3 linked regions of the Diceros bicornis minor genome follow. The protein of the gene in region 3 interacts with the protein of the main gene of each other region in a pairwise test. Links are inferred from orthologs where the notes say so. Each region holds a gene or a part of one and is shown on either strand. Other genes may lie near its edges.

Evidence for each region.
Region 1: the proteins of TXLNA (region 3) and keratin, type I cytoskeletal 20-like interact in binary tests that used the Homo sapiens proteins (3 or more experiments, as listed by UniProt). The two-hybrid records come from large-scale screens. The link is inferred for Diceros bicornis minor from reciprocal best matches to the Homo sapiens genes TXLNA and KRT20.
Region 2: the proteins of TXLNA (region 3) and VPS52 interact in binary tests that used the Homo sapiens proteins (3 or more experiments, as listed by UniProt). The two-hybrid records come from large-scale screens. The link is inferred for Diceros bicornis minor from reciprocal best matches to the Homo sapiens genes TXLNA and VPS52.

The regions. Positions count from the first base shown.
Region 1 is NC_080757.1:40,303,504-40,314,140, reverse strand, and holds the start of keratin, type I cytoskeletal 20-like, read left to right. Parts: upstream 1-5,689; coding exon 5,690-6,097; intron 6,098-8,060; coding exon 8,061-8,143; intron 8,144-9,473; coding exon 9,474-9,630; intron 9,631-9,969; coding exon 9,970-10,131; intron 10,132-10,271; coding exon 10,272-10,397; intron 10,398-10,637. UniProt on the Homo sapiens protein: Plays a significant role in maintaining keratin filament organization in intestinal epithelia. When phosphorylated, plays a role in the secretion of mucin in the small intestine.
Region 2 is NC_080753.1:31,184,118-31,194,170, reverse strand, and holds the start of VPS52 (vacuolar protein sorting-associated protein 52 homolog), read right to left. Parts: upstream 4,949-10,053; 5' UTR 4,684-4,948; coding exon 4,594-4,683; intron 3,765-4,593; coding exon 3,680-3,764; intron 3,535-3,679; coding exon 3,482-3,534; intron 3,289-3,481; coding exon 3,213-3,288; intron 3,027-3,212; coding exon 2,959-3,026; intron 2,646-2,958; coding exon 2,470-2,645; intron 2,088-2,469; coding exon 1,937-2,087; intron 1,659-1,936; coding exon 1,558-1,658; intron 1,448-1,557; coding exon 1,315-1,447; intron 1,179-1,314; coding exon 1,121-1,178; intron 754-1,120; coding exon 620-753; intron 172-619; coding exon 16-171; intron 1-15. Other genes in the region: RPS18 (small ribosomal subunit protein uS13), read left to right, coding at 5,127-5,183, 5,606-5,704, 9,428-9,514, 9,594-9,695, 9,813-9,904, 10,038-10,053. UniProt on the Homo sapiens protein: Acts as a component of the GARP complex that is involved in retrograde transport from early and late endosomes to the trans-Golgi network (TGN).
Region 3 is NC_080752.1:46,971,861-46,981,927, forward strand, and holds the start of TXLNA (alpha-taxilin), read left to right. Parts: upstream 1-5,591; 5' UTR 5,592-5,693; intron 5,694-5,988; exon of another isoform or gene 5,989-6,254; 5' UTR 6,255-6,286; coding exon 6,287-6,464; intron 6,465-7,091; coding exon 7,092-7,430; intron 7,431-9,050; coding exon 9,051-9,142; intron 9,143-10,067. UniProt on the Homo sapiens protein: May be involved in intracellular vesicle traffic and potentially in calcium-dependent exocytosis in neuroendocrine cells.

The DNA of each region.
Region 1 (10,637 bases), on a different chromosome or scaffold from region 3:
CTTTTACTTCTTAACACGACTAGCAGAAACAGCAGTCAATGGGCATGAAGAAACTCCCCACACTGGCAAATGCTTCTTCTCTCCTTGAAGTTGGGCCTCACACTTTTATTTATTCACTCATTCATCACTAATATGGCAAGTCAATAGTGAGTGCCTACTATGTTTGAGCCACTATGAGACAACAAATCTGCCAACTTATTGAAGCACAGCAGGGCGTAATTACCAAATAAATACAAATCAAAACCTAAATACGCCAGATTGTGAAAATACAATAATGTAAGTTTACTACATCAGCATCTTAAAACGTTTCATTATATAAATTTTCAAACAAATACTAGAGTAGTTAAAATAGTATAATGAATCCCCACAAACCCAGTGCCCAGCTTCAACAAATAACTCATGGCTGATCTTCCCTTATCTATATTCCCACCCTCCTTCTCCACCTCATATTATTTTGAAGCAAATTGAAGACATCATATCATTTCACTTGTAACTATTTGAGTAAGTACACTAATTTTTAAAGCACAGAGGCCATGATTTTTTCTGACTTAACTTTGTGTGGTATCTAGAACCACAATGCCTACAAATAACCACAGTTCCTATATGCCATCCTTCTCAACCAATGGAAGCAACATATCCTAACTGAGATGCCTGGGGAAGACAACCCCCCCAGAGACTGTAGATTCCGTATGTATCATATCTGGGCTGCAATAGCTTGTCCTTAATGGAAAAAAAAGTTGAAAGTCCTCTGAAAACTATAGTGTTTATGACAACTCTCCAAATTACTGGCCATACTTAATACTAATCATTAATGACCTCAGCAGAGTCTGCCTTGGAGGTCAAAATGCACCTCCTATTAGCCACAAGGAAGTTGAGATCTAATAAATATTTATTTACAGATGCAATCATCCAACAGCCTGGAATATCAAGGGCTCTAAATACATGACTTGTGCATGAACAAGAGTCAATAGGATCTGTATCTAATCCTCAGGTGTAATTCAGAAAAATTAATTGCTATGAAATACTAGCCGCATTTCTCGTGGTCACATTATAAGATATAATAATCTACCAAAGCGTAAAACTCAACGTGATAGAGGAGCCAGCAAATTCTCCCGCCCTTACATAAGCATGTGGAAGTCTTCACAGTAAAAATTTTCCTACTCCAACAAATGAGTAGTTTGGATGACTGAACCCTACCATGATATCCCTACTGTATTATATTTTACTTTCAATTTGGAATCTCAAAAAGCTACAAATACTAGCCAAAAAATGGTGTAATAACACATAGTTATTTCTCCAAAAAATTTCTCCAAAAAAAAGTTATTTCTCCAAAAATATTAAAAATGATTTTAATCATTTTTTTTCTTTTTGGTGAGGAAGATTGGCTCTGAGCTAACATCTGTGCCCATCTTCCTCTATTCTGTATGTGGGATGCCGCCACAGCATGGCTTGATGAGTGGTGCGTCGGTCTGTGCCCAGGATTCAAACCTGCAAACCCTGGGTGCTAACTTAACCACTACGCCACCAGGCCAGCCTCCTGATTTTAACCATTTTAATGAGAGTTTAACTCTGTCACTTAAATGTCATTGGGTTCAGCCATAAGGAAGAATTGTGCTAAACAGAACAAAAATTATCATGCTTAGTAACTACACTTATATTCCTTTCTAGTTATAAAGCTAATTCTTGATTTAAATAATGCTTCTACGCACTGTGGTCATATGCGTTAGTGTATGAAATTCTTAGCTGAAACTAACTCACTGCAAAACTTGTGTAATTTAAACAATACAATTTTCCAATGACTTTAATCAAACAACCTGCTTCTCCTCCACTAAATGACAACAAAAAATACATTAATTTTGTGAATACACACATATAGAATAACACAGTCCATGTGCTTGTAAAAAGTTCTTCACTGCAGATTTTAGCTGTTACATCTATTTGCAAAGTAATTTACAGCTCTGTGACAAATGGCAAGATCTGCTAATGACATGTTCAGTCACTGGTGGTGTGGGCTGATGCATATAGGAGTGGATAAAAATATAAGTAAGAGCTGTCCACACATATACCACACAGTGCGTGAAGTAGGATTAACTCTCTCTGGCAATTTTTTCTTTTGTAATATAACTGAAGCAAAGTCTAATACAAAGTATTATTTTAAAGCATACTATTTATAAGAGGGAAATAATATAGTCTTACCTTATTTTAGAAGAGGGATATTGGGGGAAAAAAAGAAAAAAAAACAACTCATAGTCAAAAGTAAAAAAGCCATTGGTTTTCAGTGGAAGAAAAACAATGATGACAAAAATAGGCCACTAAATCAAGTAAATTGCCAGTTCTTCAGAATGTGTAGGGAGTTTGGATACGCCTTTTTTAGGTTTTTTGTTTTATTTTCCTTTTTTGTCTTTTTGTTTACTCGCTTGCTTTAATCATATACAAACCTCAATTCAATTAAAGTATCAGGATGAGAATTAGTGAGATGTTTTCTGTGACTTTCCCAATCCTTTCCATTTAACTTGATTAAGGAAACAATTTAAATGTTTCAGGGGAGGTGTAAAATTTTGGGCCAGGGAGTTTGAATAAGGGGGAGCAAATGAAAAAATTCTGTTCAGCTGAACAGTGTTCATCAGATGCCCACTGGTGAGATCACACCCAGAGCTCAGCAAGTATCCGGAGGTTGACACACTTGCAGGGGCTTCAGTCCAACCGTGGAGGCTGGATGGAGCCCCAAGGTACTGCACACTCCCACTGCCCATACATGGAACTGCTCTGCTCACGCTGTGAGTGTGGGGACCTGTGGGGAAGATCAGGCTACAGTGGAAGCTTCTGCCAGTGAAATCCATTGGGGATTCTAGTGGGGAGCAGCTGTAGCTTCAGGATGGATGGAGCAGGGTCCGTCTCACGGTGGGTGTTGAGCTGACCTTATACAGAGGGGAGAGACTCCTCCACACACCAGGTCAGGTGCAAATCACTATGCTATTATTCTAAGTTTCTAGGGAATGAGACCTAATGCCAGGCAGTGACTGAGAAGTTAAACGCATTATCTAGTCTTAGAAGATTAGAACTAGGAAAAAGCTTCAAAATCATCTATCCACCACTCACCTAAATTCACTTAATTCACTTCCCCAAACTAAGTCTCCAAATGTATAAATGTTTCATTCCTGTTTTACATATTCAAGGTTTTATGCTTGTACAAAATATTTTTATAGTCTTATAAAATATAATCTCGAAACAGGGATAAACTTAAAAGCCAAAAAAAAAGCATAAAACAGAGAATCAGAAGAGTGATTTATCAATACATATAAACCCTTGTTCTTACGCAAATCAAAACCACAATGTGATATCACCTCACAACTTTTAGGATGGCTATCATCAAAAAGACAAGAGATAATAAATGCTGGTGAGGATGTGGAGAAAAGGGAACCCTGGTGCACTGTTGATGGGAAGGTAAGTTGGTGCAGCCACTCTCCAAAACAGTATGGAGGATCCTCAAAAAATTAAAAATAGAACTACCAGGGCCAGCCCCATGGCCTAGTGGTTAAGATTGGTGCACTCCACTTTGGCGCCCAGGTTCGGTTCCCAGCCACAGACCTACACCACTCATTGGTAGCTATGCTGTGGCGGCAACCCACATGCAAAATAGAGGAAGATTGGCACAGATGTTAGCTCAGGGTGAATCTTCCTCAGCAAAAAAAAAAAAAAAAAATAGAATTACCACATGATTCAGCAATCCCACTTCTGGGTATATATCTAAAGGACAAGAAATCATTATCTCAAAGTGATACCTGCACTCCTATGTTCACTGCAGCATTATTCACAAGAGCCAAGGTAGGGAAACAACCTAAGTGTCCATCAATGGATGGATGGATAAATAAGATGTTTTATATACAATCATGTCCCACGTAACGACATTTCAGTCATCGACGGACCACATAGACAAGGATTAGTACCATATAGCCTAGGTGTATAGTAGGCCATACTATGGCCTACTATAGGTTTGTGTAAGTACACTCTACCCTGTTTGCACAATGATGAAATCGCCTAATGACACATTTCTCAGAACATATCCCTGTTGTTAAGTGACACATGACTGTATTGCATATATAATGAAACATTATTCAGTCATAAAAAAAGAAGGAAATGCTGCCATTTGCAACAACATAAATGGACCTTTAGGGCATTTTGCTAAGTGAAATAAGCCAGACAGAAAAAGACAAATACTGCATGGTATGACTTATATGTGGAATCTTAAAAAAAAGTCAAGCTCATAGAAACAGTGGTGTCCAGGGGCTGGGGGTGGGGGAAATAGGGAGAGGTTGGTAAAAGGATACAAACTTTCAGCTGTAAGATGAATAAGGTCTGAGAATCTAATTTAAACATGGTGACTAATAGCCAAGACTTAGAAGCAACCTGGGTGCCCATCAAGGGAAGAATTGATAAAGAAGATGTGGTATATATACACAATGGAATACTACTCACCCATTAAAAAGGATGAAACCTTGCCATTTTTGACCACAGGGATGGACCTTGAGGGCATTATGCCAAGCAAAACAAGTCAGAGGAAGAAAGTCAAATACCATATAAACTCACTCATAAATAGAAGATAAAAACAACAACAAACAAACACATTGAGACAGAGATTGGATTGGTGGTTACCAGAGGGGAAGGGGGGAGGGAGGAGGGCAAAAGGGGTGATTAGGGACATGTGTATGGTGATGGATTATGATTAGTCTTTGGGTGGTGAACATGATGTAATCTACACAGAAATTGAAATGTAATTATGTACACTTGAAATTTATATAACATTATAAACCAATGTTACCTCAATAAAAAAAAAAAAGGATCTGAGTAGCCACAGTAAACAAGCAGAACAGAATTCCTCAGAATACTTTTTCACGTGATGTTCAGGGAACACTTCCAAGAATGCAGTTCTAGTCACAACAGGTGGAAGACTAGATCCAGCAGGAATTATGCAGAGAACTGAGGCTGTTTCACCTAAAAAAGGGAAAAGTGGAGCAACCTCAGTCCTCAAGCCTATGACAGATTATTGTAAATAAGATGGAAACCGGGTGGTTTCTATACACACTAATAAAACAAGAAGAAAACGACTACACTAAAAAAAACAATAAAAATAAACATGGTGACTATAGTCGAAAATATTGTATTGTATAATCGAAATTTACTAAGAGAACAGAACTTAAATGTTCTCACCAAAAAAAGAAAGATAAAAAAAAAATTTTTTTTTAAACGTTCTTTATTGCCAGTGTGACTTACTACTTTGCACCCACATCTGTCTTTTTAGGTACCTAAATTATTCATAAAGATTGCAAATATTCATTATGTGTATATTAGGATAAAAAAAATCTGCCCAGGCAGGTGCACAGGCTAAAAGAATACACCTTCCTGTTTCCTTTTTTTTACCTCTGTTTAAAAAAAGAAATCACCCCTGAGCAAAGCTTCTAAGAAATGCCTCTAGTGGTAATTTCTGGAATGGAATTAAACAGATCGCTGTACAAAGGGGAAAAAAAAGAGCAAAGTAAGATGGACTGTGATGTCAACCCTAAGGTGAAAGGTCAACGGAGGAGGAGTTTTTTTCCTGTGAACTCTATAAAAGGTCAGCTCATCCACCGCAGAGAAACAGGCCCGGCTCCATCCATCCTGAGGCTACAGCTTCTCCCTCCTAGAATCCCCAATGGAATTCAGCGCCAAAAGCTTCCAAAGAAGCCTGAGTTCCTCCTCGCAGGGTCCTGCACTCAGCATTAGGAGCTCCATGTATAGGAGGGGGGGCACACAGCACCTCGGGGTTGCACCCAGCGTCTATGGGGGAGCTGGAGGCCATGGCACCCGCATCTCGACCTCCAAAGGCACAGTGAGCTATGGGAGCGACCTCTCCCGAGGGGACCCATTTTTTGGCAATGAGAAGATGGCCATGCAGAATCTAAATGACCGGCTAGCAAGCTACCTAGAACAAGTGCGGTCCCTGGAGCAGTCCAACTTCAACCTTGAAAGGCAGATCAAGCAGTGGTATGAAACAAACGCGCCTACCACCAGTCGGGACTACAGTGCGTATTACAAACAAATCGAAGACCTGCAAAATCAGGTGAGAGAGGATGCCTGTGTTTTCTACTCCATTGTTTAGGTGCATAATATATCAAGAGGGCATATACGTTAGGTGGTCCAAATGGACGTTGTAAATCAAATTGGGCTGAAATGCTACATCTATAAAAGTGGTATATTCTATCATCTACCCTTAGTGCTGGAGTACCTGACTACACAGTGGGATGACTTGTAAATCATACTGTCTTAAAATTTTTTAAATCTAATTACATAGGAAATATGAAAATTTTATCCTCCAATCTTATAATCTCTATTTTTTTCGCAGTTTACCAGCTCAGGGCTAAGTGGATAGTAAATATTTTTTCTGAAAAGAGCTAAAATTTTTTGTATGTGATAATGTCTTTTTAAATTTTTTCACCTAGTTCCAATGAACTTTTGAAACCCCAGCCAATTTAGAGATTTTCCTCCTTTTATTTATGTAAATGTCGTAGTACAAGTATTAGAATACTGTGTCGTAGATTTCCATGATAAAGTGATTCAGGGAGGAAATGGAGGGAAGGGGTTTAGGTCCTAACGATACCCGGATCTTTAAATGTCCTGTTTAATAACCTGATCATCACCACCAAGCAGTTGGGAAACCACTTCTACAGTAATAAAATGTTCAATTACCCCAATTCAAATTTATTGCAATCATATCAGAACCTGCTCCCATGTCATCCAAGAAAGGTGGAGTTCTCTGTTTTATCACTTATCTGGAATAAAAGAAGAAGACTTTGCTCCTCATTGAGGATTTCAGATATGACACTGAGCACTTGCTCTGCTTTAAAATTCTTATCTAATCAAGAAAAAGTGTCCCTTTCGTTTTCATTTCTATTTTAACATTCGTATTCCTTTAGAGCAAAGGCCACTCACTTACCAGTAAGTCTCTTTTTCTGGCATTGTAACGGACATCAGTATGATTTAATTCAGATTCTACAGGAAGTTACTTTGGGGTTTCAGGCACTTACGGATGTGTGAGGCAAAGGTGTTTAAATCACCCTTTCTGCCAACAGGTCCTTCTTCTCAGACTCCCACTAAAAACATTCAAAATCAGCCAACCATTCTCCCCCACCTATCTCACGATTCACGTTTCTGCAGCTACTTTGGATCACCCCAAACACATAGGCACAGCCATCCGTTCCATTTAGCTGGGCAGATTCAGTATATGAAGGAAGGCAACCCTCTCCAGAACTGGATCTGCTGAAAGAGATACGTCATTGTAACATGTTCTACAAGCAGACTTCTGATCCACATGCATCTTAGAGAATTCACCCAGTTGAAAACCACTTCTTAAGATCAGGGACTTATCCATCCTGATAGCCTCAGTGCCCAGCACAACTCCCACCACATAGCAAGTTCCCATTCATTCAGCCAATATTTAGCAGACACTAACTAGGTATTGGCACCACACTGGCACTGGAGTATATGGTGGTGGACATAATATGATTTAGGGGGAAACAGGCATGGACAAAGGCAACATTTATCCCACACAGAGGGAAAATGCTAGCATGGAGGGCTGTGTAGGGCAATGAGAGCACAGGCAGTTCTGTTTTGAGGAAATCAGTGACGGCTTCCTTAAAGCAATGATGTCTAAGCTGAGACATGGAGGAGGAGGGGAAGGAAGAGGAGGGGGAGGAGGAGGACTTCACCAAGTGAGAGGGGCTCAGAGGAATGGTCTAAGCAGGAACAACATCAAAGACAGGGCACTCAGTAAGCTTTGATGGCTCAAGTTGAATTAAATTCTCCTTTTGTAAAAGCACAAGAAAGCTGACCAACCCTGGGGACTAGAGTTGCATTTTATGACTCTATTGTGCTAAATACCCATATCATTATTTCTCCTTTCTACTTTCATGTGGAAATTCTTGAACACCATCTTTCGTATAATAGTGGTTGGAGCTGAGGATAAACTCAATCATTTTAAGCTCTATCCAGTTGAAACTGTCGTTTTTTTCTCATGTATTTTCCAGATTAAAGATGCTCGACTACAAAATGCTCAACGTGTCCTGCAAATTGATAATGCTAAACTGGCCGCCGAAGACTTCAGGCTGAAGTAGGTTCTTTAATATCATGGTAGAACTTCCTGAAAAGGAACTCTTTTTAGTAGTCCTTCATGACACTCAGCTTTCCATATTATTGTTGGTAAAGGAGCTACCATTAAATATTTTCAGAATCTTGGAATTTAAAGGTGTTAGAAGATATCTGGTCTAACCCAGCACTCAGGGCTGGACTTCTCTCTCCCACAATCCTAAAATCCGGTCACCCTGCATGTAACTGAACACCGCCAGTAACTACTACTGTTTTCCTTGATTAGGTCTGGTTGCTAGAACTTTCTTTTTTAGTAACCTGGCATCTACCTTTTCACTCACTGAAGCTAACTCTGCCCTTTGAAGTAATAACAAAGCAGTTTACAACTCCCCGTCTGCATAAGTGCCCTTCTACTACCTAAAGGAGCCATCTCTCTACCCTTAGTGATTCTCCAAGTGAGCCATCCATGTTCCTTCAAGTGCCTACAAGTGCATGACCCAAGTTCCAGGGATGCTTTCGAGTTTGCCAGAGTTTTACAGTACACTCTAACTGACCAAAGAACTAGGACTAGGATCAAAGCAGTTCAAAATGCGTTCACTCTCTTGTAGTCATTTCACACTACCTGTGACCAGAGCTGTTCCTCATAAAGTGCTTCTACACTAGGGCTTCCTCATCCTGAATTTGTACAATGCATCAGCACTAAAAAGTCTGTTGTGATTTAGAAGCTTAGCATTTTAATGCTACAAGGAATCAAAAAGAAGGAAATGGGAAAGGAGATCTGAAGATTAAAGCAATAAATGTTCATTAATTTCAATTTTGCTAAGTCAGCATCTGAGTGTTCCATTGCATTATCATTTTTTTAAAGTGAGCTACTATAATAAAAATGGGAGTTTATGAGATTATAGAGGAGAATGTGTGAATTTTTAAGATAATTCACTTTGGATGCATCTGTTTACAAAATACTAAAAATAAATTGATCATGTACCTTCATTAAGTAGATCTAACTAGCCATTATTTAATATCAATAATGAAAACCCTTTGATAACACAGTAATTAAAGGAAAAAATTTTTTTATTTCTTTTAAAATATATTCTAGAATTTAGGAACTTTTAGAAGTTATTTCAGGTTGCTTTTTTGCCAATCACTCCAAATCACAGAGATTACATTATGGAGCAAATTATCAGATTCCCAGGTTCTCATGAATATTTTTGGAATGTATAAAGGGGGACACAATAATGTAATGAAATTGATCTCCTTGTATATCACATAAAACTCTATCTCATTATATTAATATTATCACTTCCCTAATGGCTTCAGAAGAACTCAATGATCTCTGCATACTTATTAATTCACAGGTATGAGACTGAGAGAGCGATTCGTCTAACAGTGGAGGCTGATCTCCAAGGCCTGAATAAGGTCGTGGATGATCTAACCCTACGAAAAACAGACTTGGAAATTCAAATTGAAGGATTAACTAAGGAACTGATTCTCCTCAAAAAAGAACATCAGGAGGTGAGAAAATATTCAGAAGTGGTATTGGGAATGATAGAATGGCTCTAATAATAATAAAAAGGAGGAGAAGGAGGAGGAAGAGTTGGTGGTGGTGGTGATGGTGAAGACGATGACAACAATAATGACATAAGCCCTAACTTCTTTTCCTAAGGTTGCTGTCAGGGTTAATGACTTAGAGCAGTACCTGGACTACAATAAGCCCTACCTAAGTTATTATTTTCTTTCTTTTTTACTCATTCCCAATCAAAGAAGCCATAAAACTTATTGTGTCTTTTCTGCTCAGCCTTATCTGAGAATGTGCTTCAGACTACAACCAATCAGGATTTTTCTGTCTCGTAGGAAGTGGACAGCCTACGCAGACAGCTGGGCAATACTGTCAGTGTAGAGGTGGATGCTGCTCCAGGCCTGAACCTCGGCACCATCATGAATGAAATGAGGCAGAAATATGAAGCCATGGCCCAGGAGAACCTTCGGAAGGCCAAAGAACAGTTTGACGTACAGGTAATAGCATAATTCTAAAGGGTAAGTAAGTGTGTAGAAGCCATCCTACAAAAAGAGATAACTCATTTTCTTTCTTTCTTCATTCCTTGCTTCCTTTTTTTCCTTCCTTATCTAATTTTTCATTTTTGGAACGTGTCTAGATTGAAACTCTGCAGCAACAAGTCACAGTGAGCACTGAAGAGTTAAAAGGAACTGAGGTTCAAACAAAGGAGCTGAGACGCACCTACCAGAACCTGGAGATAGACCTCCAGTCCCATCTCAGGATGGTAAAGCACATCTAACTTCCCACTCTCAATGTAGTGTGTGTTTACTAAGTGCCTGTGTTAGGAACTCTGGAAATGCAAAGACCTATAAGAAATAACCCCCATTTTGCAGAGCTGTCAGGGAAACAGGCCAAACAATGGATTATAATTAAAAGACAAGAAGAAATCAAGGAAAAGGGCAATGTACTGCAAGGATGCAGAGGAAAAAGTAGATCTAGAAGACTTCACAGGGAAAGGGGGATT
Region 2 (10,053 bases), on a different chromosome or scaffold from region 3:
GAGCGGGGATCTCACCAGGGTCATGTTGAGTGTCCGGCCCATGACGGCATGGAAGAGGTCGTGTGCAGCCGGGCCAGACACAACAAAGAATTCACAGATGAAAAGATATTCACGGCAGGAATTGTCCAGGAGGGCGTAGTGCTGGCTGCGGAAAAGGGCCTCAAATGGATACTAGAAGGGGAGGGGTAAAGAAGAGAGACAGAAGGGATGGACCCAACACTGACTCCTAGTGGCTATGGCTGGAAAATCAGCAAACCTGGGTCATGAGGGCTCAGGAGACCCTTCCCACCTAACCCAACTCCAGGCTGTGAAAGAGCATGCAGAATGGGTATTGAAGAGGTGGGGGAAGGGGCACAAGAGCCCATACTCACCTGCTGTTGCTACTCCTGCCTCCACCTCCACACCTGCCTCATGACATGTCACTCCCCTCAGCCAGCCTCTCCCCTCTGTCTGCCCGTAAGCCAATTGTCCCTACCCTTTCACATCACAGAACACCAAGGTGACTAGGGAAGGCCAGTCTGAGGTCTATGGGGACTGATCCAGAGGCCTGCAGGGTAGGAAGCTTTCCGTCACCCATGCTCAGAGTCCCCTCATGACTGAAGCTTGTTCCTCCTCCTACCCTCTGATCTCCCCGCTGGGCAGTGTGAGGCACCAGGATGGGGGCCTCCAGTTCAGTGGGAGAGATGACAGAGCCACGGGTCCCCAGGGTGAAGATGGTGTTCCTGCTGCGGAGGGATGGCTTCGAGAAGAATCGTGAAGGGTCAGAGTCAGGGAAAACAGTAAGATCATAATTGTGATGGAAGATCAAAGACTCAGTACCTCCAGGGACCCCAGGCAGCCAGACACAGCCTAGATGTCCCTCTTTCCCAGTACCAGGGTGCCACTGCACCTGACATCTGTGAATGGGCTTCAGACAGCCTCCATACTCCCTGACATGATATGCAAAATTATGTGTCAAGATAATATGTGCTTTCATCTAGGGAGAGAGGCCATAGCCTTTAACATATTCTTGAAGCTTTTGGTCCCACAGAAACAGGTAAGCAGCAGTGCCCTGGAGACTAGAGGCAGAAGCCCCCTCACTCTCTCGGCCTAGCATGAGGGTGCCTCAGCTCTAGGATATCTTTCTTTGCTGTGTCTTCCACGCCCATTAGATCATCCTTCTCAGCGACTTCCTCGTACTAGAGAAAACAAAACAGAGAACTGGTAAGCGTCTCTTCCCATGGTATTATAAAAAAATTTCTTTTTACATTGTCCCCCCTTGCCCAGCAGTGGCCCCTCTTCCCAGCCCAGGTGCCCAGGTGCCTCTGGCCTCACCTGCACCTTCATGAGCCGCCCCAGGTAAGAGCGGTAGTAAGACAGGTAGATCTTGCTCAGCGTCTCCACATATTCATCCCTCATCTCCTTTGCTGTGGCTCGCTCATTGCCCAGCAGGAACTGATAGAAGAACCTGGGGGGGCCAGGGACGAGTCAGTCTCCTTGCCTGCCCAAGAAACCAGACACCACAATGGGCTGCTCGCAGCTCAGAGGCCATCCCGAGCCCTTCCTTCGAGTGGCGACCTGTACTTCAGCAGGGCCGTCTGGGGGATCTGATAGTTGGTCATTGGTTTTCTGAAGGAATAAATCTTCTGAAGGATGAACTCTCGGATTTTCGTCACTGCCTAGACGTGAGGGACCAAACAAAGGCATGAACCTGCAACCTTCTTACCATTTGGGAGGCAGTGGGGGAAGTGACAAATGTTAAATATAGGAGGAGAAAGGGTGGAGAATCCCTATTCAGCATTTCTTAAGATTTTCAAGGGAACCCAGAGATGGGAAGTAAAGGCAGGGTGAAGTTCTTGGGGGCAAGCTACAATGAGCTCTGCCAGGGAAATCCAGGATGAAGGTCTCAGGGAAGCTAGTTCTAGTAGTTTCTAGAGTATCCAGTCCCACTCCCCACCTTGACCCGGAGCCGGTCGAGCACGCCTCTGACATCTGCGCAGGCAGCTGTGCCTCTGGCCTCCTGCTCCCGGACTGCGGCCGCCTTGGCATCCAGCTCCTGCAGCTGCTCCAGGAACCTGGGCTCTGTCACTGGCGCCTCCAGAATTGCCCTGAATAGCAGGAAAGGGTGAGCTGGGTTAGGAGGGAGACCCAGACATCCCTAGACTCCAAACCATACCCCCTACATCCAGCCTGTCTCCTCTTCCCATCTTACACTGTATCACACAGTCAGGACATGGGTACAAAGTTTTCTGTTCCTGAACCACCCCCCCATAAGCCTTGGACCCCCTCACTACATGCCTGACCCTGGTGATTCCTAATCTTTGATGCCTAAAGCATGCATCAGTGTTAGAAAGAGTTGTCAACCCACTCATCAGTTTCTGGAAGGCACTTGATGACCTGGAGCCAGGAGACCCATGTGGTAAGTAGGGCAGGCCACCCCAGCCCATCTACCTGCCATAGATATTGTGGCCCTTCAAACTGGTGACTCACGTGACCAGAGCGGAGGGCACCACCAGACCATCGACAAGCTCCCCAAGTTTCCCCCGAACTGCCTGGCGGTTTCGAAGCCGAATGTTCATGGCTCCTGACTGTTCCTGCAGTGTCCGGATCTCAGAGCTGATGGAGCTGAGGTCACTCTGAAAAGCTCCCAACATCTGCTCCATGCGCTGCAGGAGGGCAGGAGATGTTGCTGGAGGGCCACAGGGTTGGTAGGGGACAAGTGGGCCACCTAAGTTTCTTCGTTAAGTCTCCAGTATCTATTAGTCCATGAGGGCAGTGGGTGATGAGGGAGGAGGTACCCCAAAGGTCACCGGCAAATAACATTAGTTACGGTAGTAACAATAAAAAAGTCTATTGAGGTCATCCTGAAAGTGACTCTAACTGTCCCCCCTGAGGCTGGAGACCCAGAGAATGGCACCAGAGACCATGATCTGGGTTCAGGTTCAGGGTTATTGGGGGTCCCAGGTCATGGTTACTAACCTCAAGGACAGCATCGCAGGCTGTGATCTGGTTGTGCAGCGAGGCTATGTTCTCACTCTCTTGGATATCTGACCCACAAAAAGTCAAGGGGCCTCACTGTGAAGATGGAGATGCTCAGACCCACACAACCTCTCCACTTTCTCCCTGAGGTGACAGAAACCTCCGAGAGAAGATGCCAGCCCCATGGGCTGTCAGCACCACATCCCACAAAATCCGTTTTAATAACACCCCCCTTTTCCTCTGCTGGAGGATACAATCTCGAATGGATTTCTGCTCAATCTGCTGAAGCTCCAGCTCAACCTGCTTTGAATAGTGACGGAGATCCACACCCTGGGAGAATGTAAACACGACAGGTCAGGAGGAAGTCACAGTGAAGGGAAACTAGAACAGAAATGACGAAGGACTAGAGGGGAAGACACCAAGGTGACATTATAAGAGCAAGAGACAGTTTTCTTTTTCTTTTCTTTGAGGGGAGGGTAGGTGGAGGGAATTAGTGGGAGATTAGTATAGTGGAAAGCCTCACCGTTTTAAGAGCTTCCTTCACTAACTCATCCTCCAGATTCGCCTGAATGTGAACTGGAAATAGAAGTAAATCATAAGGGTCCAGCTCCACAGCTCCCTCTCCCTTCACTGAACATCTGCACACCATCGCTGCCTTTTACTTCCAGCCCCCACGCCTCTCAGATTATAGGCGCTGCATCCACCCTGTGCCATCCCTTACCGTCCACTTCATCCAGGATGAATTCATCGGAGGTGATGTCCAACTCTCCGAGTTGCAATGGCTCCTGAAGACCAGGACCACCCCCCTGGAGGGGGACAGGTTAAAGGGAGAGAATACATGGAGGAGAGAAAACAAAATATAATGGGATAATCCCCAATCCTTCGCGGCGGGGCTTTTACAGGATGCCATAGGCACCGAGTCAAAAAATTCTAAGAGTCTCACATTGTACCGAATCTACTCCTTGGGGTTGATGGGTAGGGAATATGACAAGGAGACAGGCAACCCACAAAGAGTGTGGAGGTGTCCAGATGAGGAAAATTAGGAGATGCAGAGGACAGAGCAGAGCTTGCAGTTGAATTTAGCATCCCCAGACTCCTGCTATCTTAGGTGTTCTATCATAATCCCTCTGGGGAGCCCTAGCCTTTCTCGAAACGTCAGCTAACACATAGTGTTTACCTGCATGCCCGGTGCCATCTTCCAAATACTCACTCATCTAATCCTAACCGACACCCTATATGGTAGCTCTTATTTTCTTCACCTTACAGGTGTGGAAAGCGATGGCACAGAAAGTCTGGTTAACTCGGCCAAGGACACAGTGTGTAAGCGCAGAGCAGGCATTAGAACCCAGGCCGTCTGGCTCCAGAGGGCATGTTCTAAACCTTTATACTACACTGCTTGTCTGTTCTCCCCCCAAATCTGGAGGTTAATTGAAATTGCTCCCTCGGATCCTCAGTCTCGGCCATTCTGGTCCCCGCTCAGGCTCCGGTCCGATGACAGGGAGAGGTATGGGGAGCCAATCCAGGCATCATCACGGTAGCAACCGAGCTCCCAACTTGTCCCACACCCAGCCCAGGCCCTTCTGACGCGAGGACGACCGGCCGAGACTCCGGAGGGGAACCGCCCCGCGTTCTCACCAGTGGGCCCTCCTCCTCCTCCATATCCGAGGCCCCGGCCCGCAGCACCAGCTCCCGGGCGGCGGCCGCCATCGTCGCGGCGGCGGCCATTCCGCGCAGCCTCACTTCCGGCAGCTGTCAGTCCGGCGGGTCGCTTCCCGGGACAGGAACTACAAGTCCTGGGGCGTCTTGCACAGCGCAAAATCGTTCCCAGATAGTTGAGTTTAATTGTTTGACTCCAGCTTCCCCCTTTCGGTTCTAACCACTTCATCCGAGTGCAAATGGGAATGGGAAGTCTTAAACACAATCTCACGCCGGAACCTTTGCTGCTCTCACAGCCAAGATCTTGACGAACTGTAACGAGAGAACGCACCGGAAGTTGTGGCTCCCAATTCAGACTCGCAGAAGTCGCGTTTGCTCGCGCACAAGCAGTTTCCGGAAGCGCTGCACCAAGATCGCTCCGCCTCTTCCGCCTGGTCACTATATAATGCTTTTACGTCACTTCCGTTCTCTCTTCCACAGGAGGCCTACACGCCGCTGCTAGGTCTGCCGCCATGGTAAGACTGGAATCCGTGCGGGGATCCGGCGACATCGGAACCGGGGCTGGGAAGGTCTGCTATCGGGGGGCCGAGAACGGCCCGTTCTGGGGGTCTGCAGCTTTCTGCGCGAAGCCTTGGATCGTGCCCCTGGGAAGGGACGCCTAAAGACGTCCAGTTTTGGGAGTGGGGCCAGAGGAAGAGTCCGTCCACGGGCGCTCGGAAGCCGCGAAAAGTTTGGGCGTGTATGGGGACCTCCGGCCTCCGCCGTTCAGAGTACTTTTGGGATCGGGCAGGAGACTTGCCCCTTCCCAGAGGTTGCATTTTCCCCAGCCTGAGCACTTCGTGATCCTGCTGTCTGCAGGACTGCAGTTGGCTATGTTGTGAAAACCTGAAGGGCAGTCGTGGCCCCTAGTGTGACAAGCGTAACGCTCCTGTTTGAGGTTACGGTTTGGTGGTAGTTCACGGTGTCTGATTTCTCCCCAAATTTCTGTCAGTCTCTAGTGATCCCTGAGAAGTTCCAGCACATTTTGCGAGTACTCAACACCAACATCGATGGGCGGCGGAAAATAGCCTTTGCCATCACTGCCATTAAGGTAAAGCAGGGTAAGAACTAGACAATATAAGTGAAACGGGTTGTTAGGACCTAAGTCTTAGTGAGGCAGGGTAGAGGAAACATAAGTCCCAACCAGATCCCCTCGGCTACTGGGTTAAAAAAAAAAAGAGACTGGATGAGTGAGTGATTAAATCCCTTAAACCCATACCACGTTTACCCTAAAAGGTAAGTATGAAAGCCAGGGAATAGTCTCAGGTCAAGCCAAAATATTCCACCTAGGAGATGGGGAGTAGATTTGGTGTTCTACCTGAATTTGCTAAAATTTTCCTGGACCATGAGCCATCAATCAGCTTGTGAGGTCCATTGTAGATTTCTGCCCCGCCCCCCATCACACCCGTAATCCTTTCTGTGAAATTTATATGCCCTGGAAATTGAATAATTGTACATTTTGAGGGGTGAGTAGAAATGCCAACAGATTCCAAGTGTGAAGAAACGTATATTTGGGAGGTGAGAGGGGGGTCACTAAATCAGGAGCAGGATGTTGACTCAGATGCCAGAGGTGCAAGTCGTACCCGTTTCAGAAACAGGAACTAGTACTTGGCTTGTTGCATGAATTAAGTTGGTTGAGTGCAAGGTTGGATCTCCCTTCACCAACCTAGTGAACTCCTGGTCTTCCAGATGGAGACATTATTCTATCTACCCCCCCTAAATAGGTGTGATTAGTTGTGGAAATGGTTGAACGTCTTCCTCTCCTACCAGTGGGGGTGGGGATCGGCTTGTCTTGTGAAGAATCCCCAACGTCTGGTGCATGATAGGTGCTCATGCAGTGTTAGGGAGTGGATGTTACTAGGGATACTGTGGCCTGGTTTCAAAGAATTTAGAGGAAACCATGATAAATATTTTATAGATAAGTTAATTTAAAACTAAATCCCAGCTTTGACTTACAACATTAATTAGATTTTCTTAATTTTTCATTCTATACTGCAGGAAGCATAGCTTTCATTTGTTTTGTGTGTGTGTGAGATCAGCCCTGTGCTAACGTCTGCCAATCCTCCTTTTTTATGCTGAGGAAGACTCGCCCTGGCTTAACATCCGTGCCCATCTTCCTCCACCTTATATGGGATGCTGCCGCAGCATGGCTTGCCGAGCAGTGTGTTGGTGCGTGCCCGGGATCCGAACCGGCGAACCCTGGGCCGCAGGAATGGAGCGCACGCACTTAATCGCTTGAGCCACTGGGCTGGCCCTTTTCATTTGCTCTTAAATGGTGTATAAGGAGATTGCGTCCTTCTGTAATTCTGAAACTAGTAAGGCCATGGAAAGTACAGTACCTTTTTCAAGGGTTGCTGTGAGGCCTAAGTGAGATAGTGAATCTAAAAGATGAGCATAGTTAATAGGATGCTTCTGTTAAGTCCTTTCTCTCTACCTCTTTGAAATTAACTGGTTTTGTATTTGTTAGTTTAATTAAACGTCATAACCTCTGTAGTGAGCTTAAAACAATTTTGTCAGAGCAGTTTCAGGTACTTAATGAGCACTGTGATAAGAAGACTCTTGGGATCCTGATGCCCTGCTTTTCACTGGGAAAGGTTATTCCTAGAGATAGATGAGTACTGAGGTTTTTGCTGGTTACCTGGAGAGCCAGCAACTGCAGCAAGCTCTTCCTCTGGTGAGAGAACTAAAGTGTAGAGGTGGTCTTTTGTTAAGGATGTGGTATGGGAGATAATACTTGGAAATTGGAAGAAAGTTGGGGGTGGTGGCTGAGTGTGGGGAGGGGATTCCTGAAAAGATGTGATTAAAGAAGTGGTAAGCAAGGTTAATTGGCCAGGGAAGGGTGAAGAATGGAGTGGAAGTTGACCCAAGCAGAAGAGGGCGTTTTGTAGAGGTAATACAGATCCTGCAAGATTATTTTATGCCGTGATCTCTTCCTCATTGTTTTGTTTCCACTTAGAGGCTTTGCTATGAGTATTCTTTAAGGCTGGCTGGTCTTCTGCCCTTTCTCTAAATCAGGGTAGTAACTGCCATCTGTGGATTATTTGGAAACATGGGAGGAGGGGCTTGGAGTTGGTCACAATGACTGGAACATCATACCTGCTGGCCTTGTTTATAAGGAATTCTTGTCCTGCCAAAGTGCCAGTGCCCCCATGAGTAACAGTGCTCTAAATACTCCAAGAGTAATATTAAGTTGGTATCAACTCTACTGTTATATGTTCCAGACCCTTGGACTATGAAGATGAGAAAGTGATGGTTCCCTGTAGTGCACTCTTCTGGATGGAGAGAACAGGAGTGTTCTTGGGGCAGAGAACAGTGGATCTGGGGATCTAACTTAGGAAATTGTCCAGCCAATCTCTGGAGTCAGTAAACAGGACTTTCAAAATCTTAGTTTGACAGCAACTTTTAAAACAGTTGCTGGTGGAAAATTTGAAACATTCAAGAGTAGAGGGAAGAGAATTATTGGCACCATGGATGTATCATCTAGCTAAAAATTAGAAATCTTGTTTCATCTACACCCTTCCCCATCCACTCGTTTTAAAGGATGTATTTCTGACATAGTATTGCTTCTGTAAATATTTAAATTTGAGAGAGACTTAGACCCTAATCTTTTCTGAATCTACCTCCTGATAATTTGATTTCCTAGGTCACATTCTTATTTCTAGGAAGTACCATCTGTTTTAGTTTACTGGGGCTCTTAGAACAAGTTACCGTAGACTTGTTAGCTTAAAACAACAGAAACTTGTTCTCTCAGTGCTGGAGGCCACACATCGCAAGTCAAGGTGTGAGCAGGGCCATGCTGCTCTGAAGGCTCGAGGAATCCATCTCACCTCTTCTCTGGCGGCTGCCAGCACTCCTTGGTGTCCTTGTCTTGGAGCTGCATCACTCCAGTCTCTTGCCTCTGTTACCACGTGGCCTTCTCTTTGTGTCTTGTGTGTCCTCTCGTTTTATTGTAAGGACACTGGATTTAGGGTACACTCTAATCCAGTACGACCTCATTTTAACTAATTATATTTGTAAAGATTCTATTTCCAAACAAGTTCACATTCTGAGTTTCCGGGTGGACATATATAGGGGGTTAGGGACACTTAAACCCAGCACACCATCCTTCACTGTCCAAATCTCTTTGGTTCATGAGTTCGGTGGCAAAGAGTAACAGTGTTGGTGTCGATACGATGCCACTAGTGTAAGCATTAGTTTCCTTTGAGTTTGATTTGGGCAGTTAGCTTCCAAGGGCCTGGTCATCTCCAGGCACTAACAAAATCGTTTGTGATCTTGGAGAACTTGGATCCTGGGGATGTGGTGATCTGACCAAAGAATCATGAGGCTTAAAGACCCTGAGCCATTGACAATCCTACCCCTTGCTCAACCCTGTTAAAAGGGTTGCTGCTTTGATGCTGCATCAGCTTCGAGAGCCAGGCCCTTTGTCCTCCAGCAGGAAATTGAAAGGTACCCCTCTTCTGTGCTGCTGCAGTGTCTAGCAGCTAGCATTTATTGACAACTGCGTATGCTGGGCATTGTGAAAAAAAGAAAAGATTCTGCTTTCAAGGGGCTATCAGCTATCCTCTGTTCATGGTCCAGCCCTGCCCCTGAACAAAACTTTTTCTCCTTTCTGTGTAATGGTTAGGCTTCATATCTGGGAAAGTGGGCGGGGCAGGGGCAATCCGGAAAGTATAAAGCACTAGGTTATTGCAGGCCCTACCTTTCTATGCTTTTGATTGGAGTAGGGGCTATAAAGGAAATCAGAATCAAACCCAATTCCAAAACCTCTCCTCAGGGCGTGGGGCGAAGATATGCTCACGTGGTGTTGAGGAAAGCAGACATCGACCTCACCAAGAGGGCAGGAGAGCTCACTGAGGATGAGGTGAGACAAGGAAGGGGGTGTGGGTTGGGCCTACCTCGGAAGGGGGGCATCTGGATCTGACCCTTCTCTTGCCTGCCAGGTGGAACGTGTGATCACCATTATGCAGAATCCACGCCAGTACAAGATCCCAGACTGGTTCTTGAACAGACAGAAGGATGTGAAGGATGGAAAATACAGCCAGGTGTGTATTGAGATGGGAGACGTTAGAGAAATGGAAGGCGGGGTGTCCAGCTGGAATTGGGCAGTCATAGGAGGTCAGGGGGTAAAACACATCTCTCACTTTCTCTTCCAAATCCAGGTCCTGGCCAATGGTCTGGACAATAAGCTCCGTGAAGACCTGGAGCGACTGAAGAAGATTCGGGCCCACAGAGGGCTGCGCCACTTCTGGGGGTGAGTAGGGGTGGGGAGTCTCATCCTGCCTGCCCGCCCCTAAGACTCAGAGATTTCTCTGGCTCCATTTTCTCTCCCCACCTTTTCTTTGTGTTGTATATGACCTGTGACCCTTTTCTTTTCTCACCTGCAGACTTCGTGTCCGAGGC
Region 3 (10,067 bases):
AATAGTTAAGTCCTATTGGGGCCAAATTCTTATTGTGAGACATACACATCCTGCTTTTCCCAACTATTCCTCCAAAATCTACTTTCACTTCAGATCTGGGTCCTATACCAGATGGAAGACTTTTTTAATGATCTGGCTTCTGTTTAAAGCCAGTTTTCTCCAAGGATTTCAAAGACTGAAGTGTCTCCCAGGGCACAACATGACAGATTTCTCATCAGATTAAGTGGCCTCTAGGAGCTTTCCTTTGTTAGTGTCTTCCTTAGACCATGTTTTCCCATAATCGTCCTCTAACTCCTTTTTAGTCAACAGGCAAAGTTCTTACAGCCCATAGAGGCAGTAACATCATCTTTTGTGTCTTGTCTTCTCTCTCGGCTTTCTTGGAAAGCAAAATATTATTTCTTTAGCCCAGGCTTGACAGCCACTCTTTGTGGGCAGCTCCCATCTGGACTCTAGACCCTGGCCTAGGAGAGGTCAAAGGCTTTCTGGTAGATTTCTGAATGGACGTTGCAGAGATGGAAGGGCTCCCCGGCCTGGTGTAGGGAATAGCCTGATAAGACATGTTTTTGGAATCTTCATATGTTTGCAATATGGCTGGTATATCCATTTTAAGATCTTTGGTGGAGGTGGAAGTATCTAGGTGTGGATTAAGGGAACAAGGAGCCTACTTCTTAACTAGTGTGTTCAAATACTGTTTTGAACAGTGCCAGCTATTTATTGCCAGCCCCTCTGGACATCCCACCCCAAAATCATCTTTTCTAGTACTAACAAGGTCTCTGGTCTTAGAAGCCTGCCTTCAATTCTGAGCTGTCCCCAGTGACTGCCTAGCCTTGGTGTTGGCTGCAACCTTCTGGTTGAACCATAGGGTTCCACCCTCATCTGGCCAGCCTGGTCACTTGGGGTAGTGGGTACAAATGACCCTTTTAAGAAGCAGGCATTAATGATCTCAGCTTTCAGGGACCCGACCCTTGATGTTCCCCCTTTTCCTAGAACTCTTAGATCTACTCCTTCTCTCTTTGCTGTAGAAGCCACTTTCCAGGAGCCCTGTTTTTTGGAACTGAACTGCACAGATTATAACTGCTTCTGTACTTAGCTAAGGAAGAGCAAGGAAGGCTCTCAGGCACTGACTTGCTATTTCTTTCAAGCCAAACCAGTTTAAAATGAAAATGGTCTATCAGAATGAACTGGATTTCCATTTCTCAAGTCTACTGCCTTCTTTCTACATCCTAGAGTTACCCCTGTTTCTAGCAAACTAGAAGGGAAGGAGATGAATGCCTGGGAATACTTCCTCATCCCACATGCCCCTCTTTGAAGGCCTCAGCTCATTTGTTCAGGCCACATCTCTTCTCAGTGAGACTCAGCTTGGTATCCATCATTTTGGGTATTCCTCAGTAGATTCATCTTGTGGGGTGAGATTCTGGATTCTCAGTTGAAGGCAGGGAGTCAGGTTCTCCAGGTCCCTGCAGGCACTACAGGGATACGTAGGGAAAACAGGCTGGTTGGGGGCCTCAGGAATGTGTATGACTATCTGCCTCTCTGGCAGGCTGGGGAAGGGTGCAAGGCTCAGTGCACTGAACTGAGGAAACGCTCATAACCAGTAGCAACATCTTCCAGGTAGGACTATCCAAAAAGTGAGTGTGAGAGTGAAAAATTGCCCAGAGTGGGTTTCTTCCACAGCCGTTTTAGGATTGCACATTCTAGACCAATCTTGTCCAGTATTTTTTCTTGTCTTAACTTTTGGATTCTGTTGTTAAGCCAACAAGCTGAGAATTTGGCTCTGCGGAGATCCATATGGTAGGCACTAGCTGCTCTTTGACCAAGGCCTTCCTAAATGATTCAGTCATCCCATTGTCTAGCCCCTAGCCCCACCCCCAGATTTAAGACCACGGCAAATGAAGAATTTGAGGTCAATACCAACCAAGTCTGTGAATTAAAGCTGTTATTTTCCTCTCAGAGGGCATTTTGCATCAGGCCTGGGCTATGTGCAGAACCAAAACTGGGTATGAGAGTTAGAAGAAGCAGTGTTAAATTTTGGGCCCAGAACACCCTGGGAGAAAGGTTTGTGTAGTGTGTTATAAAGGTCTTCAGTGGCTTTGGGCCTACCTCGCTACTTCTGGGCAAGCCTAACTGCTGACGTCTGCGTTAGCACATACCTGAACCCTTCTGCTAAACACTAGCCCTGCTCCCCTGTGTAGGTCAGATTTTCAGCCCCTGGGTTTGGGGAGAGAAAACTTGGCCATGCCCTGGGGGCAGTGAAGGAAGTCAAAGCTTAGAGCCTGAGACTGGCTAGGAACCTCTGACTCACAAGATGGCCTTAAAGAGCCCACCTCTACAAGAACCTTCAGGCCCTGGAGTTAGGTATTGGCCAGCTTTTGTGGGAACTGCCTTTGATTGAACCACTAAAGAAGTGAAGGGGCTGTGAGGTCTTAGCCACCCAAGACAGACTGGCTGTCCCTCAGAAACAGCTTGGGTTCCCAGCTACAAACCTAAGGAAGGTGAATCGAACCCTTTTCCTTACTGGTTTTTCTTTCCAAATTCATTTGCTTTTAGTTTTCCAAGAACTGTAAACTGGCTGTTTTCCATGTTCTCAGGGCCCCTGGGTAGACAGACAAAGCTTGATTATTTCAGAGCAGACATAGGCCAAGAAACCATGGCATTGAGTGTGCTGAGTCCAGACAAATGATATTTATATACACATCCAAATTTGAAGAGAAAATGTATTTCTTTAGGTTTCAAACACTGTAATAGATATAAAGCAAAAATAAAAACCTGTTGCAAAGTTCTAAATCGTCTTCTTTGGAATGATCCTAGATTTTGTGGAAGCGAATGAGGAGAGGGTGTTTAAACTTGTGGCCTAACAGTGGAATTAAGAATTGCAACAGCCTGCTCCTGCTATAGAGAATCTTTTTAAATCACCTTTATTGTAATATAATTGACATAGAGTAAATGGCACATATTTAAAATGTACAATTTGATAAGTTTTGGCATATACAATCAAGATAGTGAACATATCCATCACCTCTAGAAGTTTCCACATGCCCCTTTGGAATCCCTCCTTCCTGCCCGACCCCCAGCAACCACGCATCTGCATTTTGTCACTATAGTTTAGTTGGCATATTTTCTAGAGTTTCTCTAAAGGATTTTGACATCATTTCATCAGCACCATTCCACAGCCCTTTGAGCCCATTGAGGTCATACAGTTCACAACTACCCACTTCATTTTAGATCAGTTCCTAAAGCAGAGATTACAGACAAAAAGTTGGTTCAACCCAAAAGGAGGGTTTTGGTTGGCTGATAGAGTGTGTTTAAGGTTTAATTTGTTGCCAACATTTAAAAAAATAAAGATATATCTATCTTGAAAAATATCTGGCACTGCTGGGCCTGAGTTTCTGCTTGAAAACAATCTGCAAGAGCTCCATTTTACCACAATCACCGCCATTCTCAATGGTCTCCCTGACTGACTCTGGCAGATGCTAATATTGGTGATATTCTCTTTTACAGCAAAGGAGAAAGTAACTTTTTAACCCATGTTTCTATCAAATTTTCTTATTCCTTGCCTGCCTGCTCTACTCATTACCCAGGTGGCCCCTGTAGGCCACTGATGATCCTGATACACCACTCCACCCTTCACCCCATGCATACCTTGTTCTTGCTTATTATGTTCTTTATCTCTGCCTAGAACATCCTCTTCCCATGAAAATCCATCAAGGCTTGATTTATATGTTACCTTCTCAAGAAATTTCCAACGTGCTTCTCTGGAAATAAGCAGGGACTTGGTTTCGTGAGACCTGGATTCCAAACCTTTCAGAGCTTGAGTTTGACCATTATACTATTATACCATATTGCCTCTCAATGTTACCTGGAAAATGCAAACTCTTGCTGCCTAAGGGATGTGGAAGAGAACTGCCCTGAAGTCTCTAACTGGGGAAAATACTTAACATCTTAAGAGCCCTAAAACAATGCCCAATTTGCACAACAATTTAAAACTCTCTGCCTCCAGAATGATGCTAGGCTTTAGGACTAGAGAATTTAGCCAATGTCATTGTTGTTCTCGCAATGTCATTGACTTGTAAAGCAAGTAATTTCAACACCTTGTTACTAATGCTGTAATAAGACCTCTATCCAGACTTAGGGAGCCAGGACAGACTGCAGAGCACTGGGAAGGCTCTGAAGTGACCTTTGACCTGGACTTCAAAAGATTTTGTTTTTGCCAGAAGGCCGTTTTGGAAGGTGGAATAGCACCTGCAAAAACCTAGGAAATCCTGGAAATAAAAGTATAATTGGAGCAAAAAAGGCAGAGGGGATGGGCAGGATCGGCTAGAAACAGAAGCCAAACCATGTAGACATTAAATTCCATGTGCAAGAGTTGTCGGTTTTTTTTCCATTACCTCTAGGCAACTGGATAAAGAATTGTGATATCACTTGCGGAGAAAAGTTTGGCTTTTTTCCCCTTTAGCCCCAGTGCAACTGAGACTTTGTAGAGAATGAGCCAGTCAAAGAAAAGGCTCAGGAATCTGCTGAGGCCAAAATTCCCCTTACAGGGCCCCCTTACCCTTTCCAAAGAGGGACTCAAGCTGGTAATGGAGAGGGGAAAAAATATAACCTACTTTCACAAGTCACAAGTCATCGTCAGGGAAAGCGTCCCATGGTGGTTATTTCTTCTGGGTAAGAGGCAGGGTAGTCTAGTAGTTAAAGATGGGTGCTGGTGCCAGACTTCCTGGTCTCGAATCTCTGCTCTAACCATTCAATAACGATGTGACCTTGGACAAGTTATCTAACCTTTGCCTTACGGTCCTTGGCTATAAAATGGGAATAACAAATAGTACTTAGTTATGAGGATTAAGCTAGTAGACACTGAGAAAGCACACTGTAAGCGCTCAAAGAACTGCTATTGTTATTAAACGCTTCTATTTGAATACGGATATTGATGCCCTCGGATAAAAAAAAAAAATGCCAGGGGCCAGCCTGTGGCTTAGAGGTTAAGTGCTCGCACTCCGCTGCTGGCGGCCTGGGCTTCGGATCCTGGGCCCGCACCGACGCACCACTTCTCTGGCCATGCTGCGGCAGTGTCCCACATACAGCAACTAGAAGGATGTGCAACTTATACAACTATCTACTGGGGCTATGGGGAAAAATAAATAAATAAATAAAAATTGTTAAAAAGAAAAAAATGCCTGGTCACACAGCAAATTAGTGATGAAGTTAGGACTGGAATACAAATCTCCTGATTCCCAGCCCCAGTATTCTATCCCTTGTCCTCAGAGTTCCTAGATAGTCATAGATGTTCGCAGAAAGGGTGGAGGCATGTAAGAAAGAACAGCCAGGGGCAAGGCTTTGAGAGCTGAATCACAGCTTCCGCGTAATGGAAACGAGGTTGACGTTGATGTTTGTGCAAAATGACCTGCTTCTTTCGGACCTCCTGGGTATCGGGCTCCAAGACTAAACCCCTTCCTACTGCATCTTGGGAGTTGGGGTCAGCCCCAGTGCATGGAGGGACTTGTAGTCCTCTCCCTCCCCCGCCTTCCCAACTCACCGGCCTCAGAGGCTGCCTTCGCTTCATCTTTCCCAGCAAGCCTCGCGAGAGCGCCGGCTATTGATTGGCTGCGGCGGGAGCAGGCGGCTCTGCCGGCAGCGGTTACCCAGGGTTTCCGGTGCGAGGCCAGAGCGGGCGAAGCCGTCGGGACGTTGGCGTTGAGGTGGGTACCACGGCGGCTAGAGGGACGAGGCGATCAGACGGTCTGTGGACCTGAACCCTTTCGGCCAGTGCGGGGAAACACGCCGATTCTGCGCGAGAGCTCGGGCCGGGGGGCAGGGCTGAGACCTGTGCGCATGCGCGGGCGGAGCGCGCGGCTGGAGGGCGCGCGGGGTGTGGGTGGCTGCGCGCGGGCGCGCGCTGGGGGCCCCACGTGGGGCCTAGGGGGCGGGGAGGGACCGGCGATGGAGCGTCTCGCCACGTCAGTCTCGGTCCCTGAGCCTGTCCCGCGGTAGGCCTGCGTGAGGGCCCGTGTTGTCCCCGGGAAGTGGTTTCGGGAAAAAGGAGGCCTCTCCTTCCTCGCTCCCGGAGCAGCGCCCGGAAAACCTGCCTGGGCACACCAGGCTCCTGTGACTGGCTAGAGACAGGGGGAACCGTTGGCTCCCTCCGGGGAAGGCCGGCCAGTTTGTTTTAAGAAGCTTTGTGCGCCCAGTGTTGAGATTTCTGATCCAGGCTACGAAGAATTTCTTAGTCTGGAAAATAGCAAGTGTGCTTGTTTCTATAGGATCTGCTCCTAACCTAGCATTGCAAACCACAATGAAGAACCAAGACAAAAAGAATGGGGCTGCCAAGCAATCGGGCAACACTTCCAACCCAAAAAGCACCCCAGGGCAACCGGAAGCAGGACCGGAGGGAGCCCAGGGGAGGCCCGGCCAGTCGGCTCCTGCGACAGAAGCTGAAAGTTCCACCAGCCAGGCTCCAGGGAAGACTGAGGGTGTGTGCCAGCTCTGCTTTTCCAGCGGGCAGGGGGAGGAGTTTGTGATTCGCCAGTCTAGCTTCTGGAGTTAGAGGGCAGGGCCACTGTTTACCCAGGAAGGAGGAAATGTAGAATGAGAAGAGGACATTGCTGAGTCTGTGCGGTCCCCACCGTTTCCTGGGGAGTGGGTAGAGCCCCCACCCTAAGCACAGGAACAGAACTGTCTTGAGAGAAGGCTCTGACAGGATTAAATCAGGGAGCAGTCAGATGAGACACCTAGCCAGCAAATCCAGGTTAGAAACACCTTATTCACCAGTGGGTAACTGCTGTTCATATTTGAGGCATTTCTGGAACTTTTTTAATAGTAAGAAATGAGTTTTGCAGGGAGGAGAAGGGCAGGGACTAGACGTTGAACTGCTACATGCCATCCCTATGTTGGATGCTTTACTTACTTGATTTCTTTTATACTCAAACACAATCGGGCAGCAGTGAGAAATAATTATATCATTTTATAGGTAAATAAACTGAGGCTTAAAGATGTTAGGCAACATCTCACCCAAACTAGTAAGTTTGGACCTGAAAAACGCCAACCATTGGTATAACCATCTTATTTCTCACTCTGCTCCTCCTCCTCTCCTGGTGTAGGAGCACAAGCCAAAACTGCTCAGTCCGGGGCCCTCCGTGATGTGTCTGAGGAGCTGAGCCGCCAGTTGGAAGACATCCTGAGTACCTACTGTGTGGACAACAATCAGGGGGCCCCAGGTGAGGACGGGGCACAAGGTGAGCCTGCTGAGCCTGAAGATGCAGAGAAGTCCCGGACCTATGCTTCGAGGAATGGGGAGCCTGAGCCAGAGACCCCAGTAGTCAATGGTGAGAAGGAGACCTCCAAGGGGGAGCCAGGCACAGATGAGATCCGGGCAGGTGACGAAGTCGGAGACCGAGACCACCGAAGGCCACAAGAGAAGAAGAAAGCCAAGGGTCTGGGTGAGCAGAGGGCGGCTGCTTGTGAGGGTGCTGAGGGGGAGAAGTTTGGACCTGACATTCCTTGGGCTAGCCTGCTCTGCCAGGATTCAGAGGAAATCCTGCTTCCCAGAGCAGAGAGTCCCGCTAGTTTAATCAAAGCCAGTGCTTTGGGGCCATTGCATAGAAGTGTGCAGGTTGTTCACTGTGCAAGGGCTTCTGGCCTTGGGAGCAAGTAGGAACTGAAATCCAACTTACGCTCTCTGACAAAGTGGAGAGCAGGAGACCTGAGTGGGCTCCTGTGTCAGCCAGCACCATTTCTAACCTGCTCTGTGACCTTGGGCAAGACCTTTCTTCTCTCTAGTCCTTAATGTTTGTTTCTCTACAGTAAGAGAATTGGCCTAGACCAGGGTTGAAAACTCAAATGAGCCAAGCTAGCTGGGGGGCCCCATGAGGACCAAGAGAGTACCTACTTCATCCAAAGGGTTGACTGCCGCCTGGTCCCAGAACGTTGCATGTAAAACCACAGGCTAAGTGTAGCCAGCTTTTCCTTTTTGTTTTTTTTTAAGAAAAGCCATGGGCCGGCCCCGTGGCTTAGCGGTTAAGTGCGCGCGCTCTGCTGCTGGCGGCCCGGATTCGGATCCCGGGCGCACACCGACGTACCGCTTCTCCGGCCATGCTGAGGCTGCGTCCCACATACAGCAACTAGAAGGATGTGCAGCTATGACATACAACTATCTACTAGGGCTTTGGGGGAGAAAATAAATAAATAAAATTAAAAAAAAAAAAAAGCCAGAAATCTAGGGTTACATGAAATGTCCAGAATTCTAACATTTGGCAACTCATATGCTGGGAGCCAAACAAAACCCATCTGTGGGTTGGATTTGGCTTGTGTGCCAGCGATTTCCAGTCTCCACCCTGATCTCGGAGCCTCCCAGGGTTGACCCTTCAGGAGCCTCGTGCTGTACTCTGTACGCCGGCCCTCCAGGTGACAGTGGGAAAATTGGACTCAGGCTAGTGTATGTTAAAGAATCAAAGTTAGGTGATATTATGCCCATGTCTTAGTTCCTACTCCCCCACCTCTACCTGCCATTCTAATTTAAAGAGGGTGGTTTTTGTTGTTGTTTTTTCACCTTAGCATCAAATATTGGAAGGTATACTCATGTTAAAGTTCACTGTTTGGCTGCCTGTGTTGACGAGTCTAGTAGTTCTCAAGGAGACCTGTTCGTTTTTGCATCCTTCCTCTTTCAGAAGGACCTTCCTTATATTGAAACAGTAGCCCTGCATTCACTGGTGGGACACCTTTCTTTCATCTGTTGGTAGAGCAGGCAGTTTTTTTTCTTCCAGTCCTGGTGCTCACCAAGGAGATTCCACAGAGATTCAGTCATTCATTTCATAAGCATTTGCTGAGCCTGTCCTCTGGGGTGGGCGCTAGAGGCAGTACTGGGGCTATAGTAACGGGCAGAAATGAGTTGGTCCCAGCCCTCGTGGAGCACACAGTCTAGCAGCAAAGGCAGCCAGTTCAACAAACAGAAATATCAAGTATGATAAGGGAGGGCTGCCTCGGGTGGAAGATGGTGGGCCCAGGCCTGGAGGGGACCTCCAGAGAAGGAGGTACATGCCTTTGCTCCCTGTGCTTTGCAGGGAAGGAGATCACGTTGCTGATGCAGACGTTGAACACGCTGAGTACCCCAGAGGAGAAGCTGGCAGCTCTGTGCAAGAAGTATGCTGAACTGGTCAGTTCTCCCCCTTCTCCTCGCACCTTCCCTGCCTCAGAAGGTCAGCAGGCCACCTGGTGTGGGGTTTGGGGTGCAGGGGCAGGTGGGTGGCTTAATTCCTGTCCAACTTCTCTCAGAGCCTTTTGCGCGTCTGTTTAGTGGGGAGTCAGGTCCCAACCAGCCTCTTCAGGTAAGATGTAGAGTAATAGGAGAGGCTTCATGTTCCAGTGGTGGATCCCGAGCTCCTGGCCCGAGTCCCGGGTACCATCTTGTCTCGCCCGTGTGCTTCAGTATGCGTCCTCCCAAAATATGAAAACGCACGGTGCCATCATCACACTTCACAGAAGGAACACTAATCACTTGATAGTCTGTAATACCCAGTCTGCAGTCAGATTTCCCGCATTGTTTAAAAATGTCAGTTTGGTCAAATCAGAGTCCAAATGAGGTCCATTTATTATATTGGGTTGTTACGACTTTTTTTTCCTTTTACTTCAAAATAGTCTTCCTCTTCCTGCCCCTCTTTTTCCTATGACAGTGACTTATTGCAAATCAGTTGTCCTGTAGGATGCCCCACTTTGTAGCTTTCTGGTGGCATTTAAGTTGCTCCTTTATCCCCTGAGTTCCTGTAAATAAAGTGGAACTTAGCTCTAGAAGCTTGATCCAATTCAGGTTCAACTTCTCTAACAGGAATTTTTCATAGGTGGGTACTCGGAACTTCGTGTTGCCTCACAGGAGAAACCAAGTGTGGACATCTTACTTTTAGTGATGGAAGATTGTTCAGTGGGTTCTGATGGGCCAGCCAGGGCCCTCCTTTGTCAGGTTCCCCATCAGAATGTGAATTAACAGATTCATCCACTGAAGATCATTACTTAAGGACTTTTTTTTTGTGAGGAAGATCAGCCCTGAGCTAACATCCATGCCAGTCCTCCTCTTTTTGCTGAGG